Tribolium castaneum: one gene and its partner. The protein of the gene in region 1 binds, or shares a complex with, the protein of each later gene. Links are inferred from orthologs where the notes say so. Each region holds a gene or a part of one and is shown on either strand. Other genes may lie near its edges.

Evidence for each region.
Region 2: GatB (region 1) and GatC share a complex: the UniProt entries of both Drosophila melanogaster proteins name them as parts of the heterotrimeric GatCAB amidotransferase (AdT) complex. The link is inferred for Tribolium castaneum from reciprocal best matches to the Drosophila melanogaster genes GatB and GatC.

The regions. Positions count from the first base shown.
Region 1 is NC_087394.1:27,621,581-27,625,765, forward strand, and holds GatB (glutamyl-tRNA(Gln) amidotransferase subunit B, mitochondrial), read left to right. Parts: upstream 1-1,448; 5' UTR 1,449-1,560; coding exon 1,561-1,643; intron 1,644-1,691; coding exon 1,692-1,959; intron 1,960-2,006; coding exon 2,007-2,322; intron 2,323-2,369; coding exon 2,370-2,605; intron 2,606-2,648; coding exon 2,649-2,962; intron 2,963-3,018; coding exon 3,019-3,142; intron 3,143-3,188; coding exon 3,189-3,410; 3' UTR 3,411-3,436; downstream 3,437-4,185. Other genes in the region: Tbce (tubulin-specific chaperone E), read left to right, coding at 3,757-3,941, 3,987-4,185. UniProt on the Drosophila melanogaster protein: Allows the formation of correctly charged Gln-tRNA(Gln) through the transamidation of misacylated Glu-tRNA(Gln) in the mitochondria. The reaction takes place in the presence of glutamine and ATP through an activated gamma-phospho-Glu-tRNA(Gln).
Region 2 is NC_087399.1:7,965,574-7,968,529, forward strand, and holds GatC (glutamyl-tRNA(Gln) amidotransferase subunit C, mitochondrial), read left to right. Parts: upstream 1-1,749; 5' UTR 1,750-1,931; coding exon 1,932-2,227; intron 2,228-2,271; coding exon 2,272-2,446; downstream 2,447-2,956. Other genes in the region: enoyl-CoA hydratase domain-containing protein 3, mitochondrial, read right to left, coding at 1-101, 153-256, 306-329; protein KTI12 homolog, read left to right, coding at 761-920, 968-1,072, 1,117-1,412, 1,463-1,729; PolG2 (DNA polymerase subunit gamma-2, mitochondrial), read left to right, coding at 2,415-2,831, 2,880-2,956. UniProt on the Drosophila melanogaster protein: Allows the formation of correctly charged Gln-tRNA(Gln) through the transamidation of misacylated Glu-tRNA(Gln) in the mitochondria. The reaction takes place in the presence of glutamine and ATP through an activated gamma-phospho-Glu-tRNA(Gln).

The DNA of each region.
Region 1 (4,185 bases):
CTTGTTTGTCATTTTCCATACTTGTCACTCATTTAAAAACCCGATCAACAACATAGAAAACAGATATCAATCAATGCCACTGCCTTATGTGTGAGCCTCGGTTAATTAATGTGAAGTTTATCTCGAGTGGCCAGCGTTCCCACCTTTACGGCAAATTATTTATTAATAAGACATTAACCTTGAAAACAGGGATAACCACAAATAAGTAAACTTGCATCCGAAAATAAACCGGTATGAACGTAAAACCTTGACTTACAGCGTAACGCAGCAATTGAGACAATTAAGGATAATTCGCTTAGCCCCCCAGATTATAACCTAATAATTAATCTGTTTACGGCTGCGACCTGGCCACTCGGGCCCGCAAGGACATCCATTAGCCCATTACTTAGCCAAATTTCCAGCTTGTGCGCTAATAGTCGCTATTAACGCTGAGATAATTACAAAAATACATAATTGTTTCTCACCTGGTAATAAGAGTCGGCCATCTTGAATCCAAATTTACATCACTCAAATGTGGAATTCGGACGGTTTGGCGGTGTTTTAACGGCACATAGCGGTTAGAATGAAAGCACATATGAAATTAACGGCTCTGTTTACGTTTCGTTAAATATTCCAGTTCAATTGTAAAATATTTGGCCACGATTTTTCTACATATCACATTACGACGCGCACTGTTTTGCCGGCGCAACACGACTGAATTAGTTTGTTTTCATTGGCTCGCTGAGAAATAGCATGAGATGGAGATATCGGGCCTCGCATGTGGAGGATGGGAGTACAACAGGTGCTCCGATCTAGGCGGCGAGACAGCGCTGGGAATACGATGACATTTAACAAAAAATTTAAAAAAATCGTTAATTAAATTTGAATTTCATTTAATTCCGAGGAATTTTCAGCCACACATCGCCACCAGTTTAATAAATACACACAACGTTGCATTTCTTTGGTTAATTGGGCATTAATTAATTAACACTTCCACAATCATTAAAAATTTCTCTCATCAGTTTCCATTAAAAATCTTTGAATAATTTTTTTTCAACTAGTACTATTCGCTACTAGTGATAGGTTTTCCCGGAAAATGGGCAAAAAATTTATCGCTAAGAAAACACAGCTTGTTTGTCGTAATTTTTATTTTTAAACGATAACAAAATAAATATTTGTAATTTCTATTCGGTTAATTTAATTAGATAATAAGCCACGAATTTTTGTAATACTGTACGGATAAACTGCAAGACTTTAAATTTGACGCCGTTTTAGCGTCATCAGGTGCACCAATACGAATTCAATCAGGAAAAAAAGCAAATTTTATAAAACCACTCAAGAACACCACACAAATCTCACCCATTCTCTTGAAAAAAATTACTCTAAATTACCACAACCAACAAAAAATACAACCATTTATTTAGGCTCCTATCGTGATAACGTAAACACGTTCTAATTTTTTATGGTTGGCCACTCTGGACCTGAAGGTCATTGTTCCGATTTTCAGGTTATCTCCAAAAATTTGTATATAAATTAAAAAAAAAGGGAAACTGTTTTATAGACGTGTTTAAAATAGGCAAAATGTTCAATAAATTTACCTATAATTTTCGCAGGGGCTGTCATTTATGTCAAAGAACCAGACGTTTATTTTCTAGTAAAGCGGGGTATGGGGGCTAGATTTGCCCAATTTAGACTCAAATTTGGATTTTTAGCGCCAACAATCAATGGAACAGTGTCGTGGGCTTGGAAGTTCACGCCCAAATTAACACAACCAGTAAACTATTCTCAAGTGCTTCAACCAAGTTTTCGTCCCCCGTGAACGCAAATGTGGCCCTTTTCGACTGCGCAATTCCCGGCACTTTGCCCGTACTTAACAAAAAATGCGTCGAATTCGGGGTTTTAACGGCGCTAGCTTTGAATTGTCGAATAAATCCCGTCTCAACTTTTGACCGCAAACATTATTTTTACGCAGATCTCCCTGTAAGTTGTTGACCAGTTTTTTTGGTGATTTATATTTTTGCGTTGAGGCCGGTTATCAAATAACCCAGCAGAGACACCCTCTGGCCAACGACGGCCGTCTCGAATTCCAAGTCTTTAGCCCCGGTGTTCACAAAGCCCCCTACAAGAGGCAAGTCCGCATTAAGCAGCTCCAGCTGGAGCAAGACAGCGGAAAGAGCCTCCACGACACTGACCGCAGTCTCGTTGATTTAAACCGTGCGGGGGTTCCCCTAATGGAGGTCGTTTTCGAGCCCGATTTGAGCGACGGCGAGGAGGCCGCAGCCCTAGTTAAGGAATTAATCGCGATTTTGCAACGCATTGGCACTTGCAGCTGCAAAATGGAAGGTGGGCCCCTTTTAAAATCAATGGCAACATTCTTACGAAATTTTTAGAGGGGGCCCTGCGGGTGGACGCGAACGTGTCCATAAATAGACAAGGGGAGGCTCTGGGGGTGCGCACGGAGATCAAGAATATCGGGTCGGTGAGGGGCGTCGCGGGGGCGATTCGGTACGAAATCGAGCGCCAGATTCAAGTGAAGGAGTCTGGGGGGGCTGTGGAGAATGAAACTAGGGCTTGGGACGCTTTGGGTAAAGTCACAGTTTCAATGAGAGACAAGGAGCAAGTGCAGGTTTTTTTTTCAATTTTGTGTCAAATTTTCGAAATTTGCTCAGGATTATAGGTACATGCCGGAGCCTAATTTGCCCCCCTTGCACGTGGCAATGGGTCCGGTGTCTCAAGGGTGCGTCAGTGTTGACTCCCTCAAAAGTTCTCTCCCGGAATTACCGGAAGGAACGAGAGTTAGACTGAGGGAAAGCTCCGGTTTGACTCTAGAGCAAAGCATTATTTTAGTGAATGATAGTTCGCTGTTAAATTTATTTGAGGACGTTTGGAGGGCGAAAAAAATTGAGGGAAAACTACTCGCCAACTTGTTGATAAATGAGTACACCTCGATTCTGAATAAGATGGATTTAGAACCGAGCCAATTGTGAGTTAAGTGCGGAAACATAGTAGTTTAGATCGGGATTAAGTTACATTTTTCAGTTCTTTTAATTCTGACTATTTTGGGGAAATTGCCGTACTTTTGCAAAATGGTGAAATCACAAGAAACACGGTTAAGCTCGTCTTGGACGAAATCATCCAAGGGAGCACAAAACGGCCACTTGAGGTTTGCAAGACCGAAGTTGTTTCACTTACGAATTATTTGTTTCCAGATCGTGAGAGAAAAAAACTGGTTACAGATTACCGACGAAGATGCGTTGAGACAGTTATGTCAGGAGGCCTTAGACCAGAACGAAAAAGTTGTGAAACAGTACAAGGGCGGAAAAACGAAAGTTTTTAAAGCACTTCTTGGATACGTGGCGACGAAAAGTAAACAAAGAGCAGACATGAAAAAATGTGATAAGATTTTAAAAGAATTGTTGAATAAACAGTAATCATGTTAATAAACAGTCGTAATGTATTTGTTGTGTTTTATTTTTTCCTTAAATTCGGGTGAAAACCCGGAATCGTTTGGCGCAAAATATCCTAAGTCTCGACGCGCATAAGATTTCGTGGGCCGATCACAAATGTCAAAAAAATTGTGATTCATATTACTTTTAAATCAATAATGTGTTGTATGTATTGAAATAATTGTAACAATTTGGCCGTACGGTATAAATTTAGCTTGATTCTAACCCACCTGACTTGAAAAAAGTAAGTTTTTATACCCTTTTTCCAACCTAACCTCACTGTAATTTTGCGAAAAAAATCATCACAAATAATTTTGTAGACATCACAGCTATGACAAATTCGCACTCTCCTTGCCAAATTGGGGACCGCGTCGAGAGCGGCGGTTACATCGGAACGGTAAAATACGTGGGCCCCATCGAGGGCAAGCCCTCAATTTGGCTCGGGATCGACTGGGACAACCCCCAGCGGGGCAAACACGACGGCCGCGTCAACGGAGTGCAATATTTCACCACCAGGTATTGATCCCCATTCATTTTTACCCCGACTTTACCAAATTTTAGAAACCCGACTTCAGGTTCCTTCATAAGGCCTGAGAAGGTCAATTGCGGGAAATCAGCCCTAGCGTCGATTGAGTCGCGCTACGGCCAGTTCGAGGATGAATTCACCGCCAAAATCAACAAACAGAAGCAGCTGCTTATCCAACAAAACATGAACGCGCCTTTTTTGGAAATGGTCGGCTTTGACAAGGTTTTCCACAAA
Region 2 (2,956 bases), on another chromosome or scaffold:
GGCCTTCGGCACCTATTATTATCACTCTGGTGCTCTTATCAGCTGATGTTTCACTGATGTTGTTGATTAGGTGGTCCATCATTGAAATTGACAAGGAATTTCTGTTCAAAATACCGTTTTTACCTATTTTTTGTTAAATGTAACGAAAGTACCGTGTTTTTTGGTCGCACATCACTATTTTCGCAATTCCATTTTGCACATTCATGTGTGTGGGGGCCCCAGATGAATAAAAACATTTCTGGACAATAAGCCTGGTCTAAAACCGGCAAAAATTCAGTGGAAAGTATTATAAATACGGACAAAACCTTTGGTTGTCTTAATCCCAACATTTCTTCGTGATTTCGGACAATGAACTGTGTTTTTTCATCAGATAAAATATTTATAATTTAATCTTAAAACGTTTAAAAATTTAACACACAGTGGCAAAAAACGAGGCTCAGATACGCATCTGGGTAAGTTACGGGTCACGAAACGTAAAAATTGTATTTATTTTGATCTAAAATTAAAATTTTGAATCGGAAAGTTAAAATTGGCGCGTTTCCTTAAACCAGTGCTTCCAAAACTTTGGTACGATGCAACAGTAAAGAAATCTCAAAAAAATACAATTTTGGGTTACAAACTGCTAATGACCTTACCCGTGGTACAGGTGGTTACGAATCTGCCCCATTGTCAATACTTTGTTACAAATTTTTATTTTAAGTAATGTGTGGGAAGTGCTGCTGAAACGTCATTAAATCTAACCTTAAAAAACCATCTGACAATGCCCCTAATTGTGGTAACTGGGGTCCCCTGCAGCGGCAAAACCACCCGTTCCACTGAACTGAAACAATTTTTCGAAAGCCACGGCAAGGAGGTGCACGTTGTTAGCGAATTTGACCAAATCATCAAAGCCAATTTTGAAAAAAACGCGTTTTTTTCAGGCAAGTATCGATAATTTGGTTTATTTGTTTTGTAATATTATGCACAGATGCCGCGGCTGAAAAACACATCCGAAGTTTGCTCAAATCGGAAGTTTTGAAACTGATAACACAAAAAAATGTTGTGATACTTGATGCCTTGAATTATATCAAAGGTAAATAAAGTTGTGTATGATTTGGTGTTTTAAAATCGTTCCAGGTTATCGGTACGAGCTGTATTGTGGCTCAAAGGCCAACAAGAACACCCAGTGTACGGTTCACACTGAAATAAACCGGGACGAAGCGTGGAAATTTAATGAGAAGCGGCCAGAATTGGAAAGGTATATCAGAGATACTTTTGATGCCCTTCTGATGCGGTATGAAGACCCCGACGGGAAAAATCGCTGGGATTCACCCCTATTTGTGGTTTTCCCCGGACAAGAGCTGGACAAAAGTGCCATCATGTCGTGTTTATTTGACTCAGAACCGGTCGTTCCTAACATGTCCACTCAAAACGTAAAGGAAATATTTCTATTGTAACAATTTTCACTAATGAACAATTGTAGCCCCCACTAAACTCAACGAACTTATACGATTTGGACCAAGTCACGAAAAAAATCACAGACGGGCTTGTCAAAAGCAAGAATATGGGGGTACAAGGAGCTGTAAAAATTGAGGATTTCCCTCACCTATCCATCGATATTTCTAACGTAACCGTGCAAAAATTGATGATTTTGAGGAGACAATACTTAAGTTATTGCAAACTTCACCCGCCTGACACGAAGCAAATCCCACAATTATTTATACAATATTTAATAACAAGCCTGCAATAAAAATGTTACATAACCTCACTTTTTCCATTACCTCACCAAGCGCAATTTTTGGTGTTTTTTTCTAATTTGTGTACATTTTTTAACGTAATTACTTTATTTACACAAAAGTCACCAACAGTTAATAAGTGAACGTTTTTTTCGTATGAGAGTCAGGCGTTTTTTAAGTAAAAGCCGGGCCCTAACCTCAAACTAGTGTCGAAAAATGAGTTTTTTGCGCTGTGGTTTCGCCCGTGTCCGTTACTTTTGCATCCAAAGTGTTGGAAAAGTCAACTATTTCGTGCCTAAAGCCCCCACACGGTCAAAAATCGACCGGAATAAGTTGCCCCCACGCACTAGCATTGACGCTAAAACTATAGCCCTTCTAGAGCGTTTATCACTCGTTGATTGCGCTAATAAACAGGGGATAGAGACATTGGAGGACGCTATTGCCTTTGCCGACCAAATCCAACAAGTGGACACTTCAAACATCGAGCCTTTAGTTACGGTTTTGGAAGACAGGTGAGGGCTCAAGCCTCGTTTTTTGGTCTGATTTCGTGTTCAAGGCCGTTACGGACGCGGGAAGACTGTGTTACTGAAGGTAACTGTCGTGAGGATATTTTACAAAACGCTGAAATCACCGAAGAGGAGTATTTTATCGCCCCCCCTGGAAACATCCCCCTGGAGCCTCGCGAGGATTTGCTGCACGATGACGTTCGAAAAGATCGTGAAACTGTGTGAAAAGCACGGATTCTTGCGAAGAATCGCCAATCCGAGGCTAGAAATGTTCAAAATCGGGCCAACTGGGGCACTTTTGCAAGAAAATTTGCACACCGAGTGGCTCAATAATATCGTAATTAGTAAAGACATTCAAATGTTTCATTGTGTGGACGATTTCGCGGCGACTTTCGATTTTGCCAAAGCGACGTGTTTGGGGATTCCCCCGTTTGGCATCTCTCGTGTAACACAGAGAAAATTGCGAGTGCAGGAACAACTAGATAAAACAGGATTTGAGAAGTATTTCGACCAGGGACGGATCTACGAATGCTGCGTTTTTATGCCCCCGAAAGACGTGACCCAGTTTTTCCACCAATGGCAACGCGAGCGCAAAATTTGGTGGCGCCGAGTTGGTTTTTCAAATTTTTTTTGATTTTTTCAACAGCCAGTTTTACAGTTTTCTTCGTCACCTGGACGTTATATTTTAACAGAGGGGACCCAGAACGTTGAAATTTTGGCCAAGTATCCATGGGG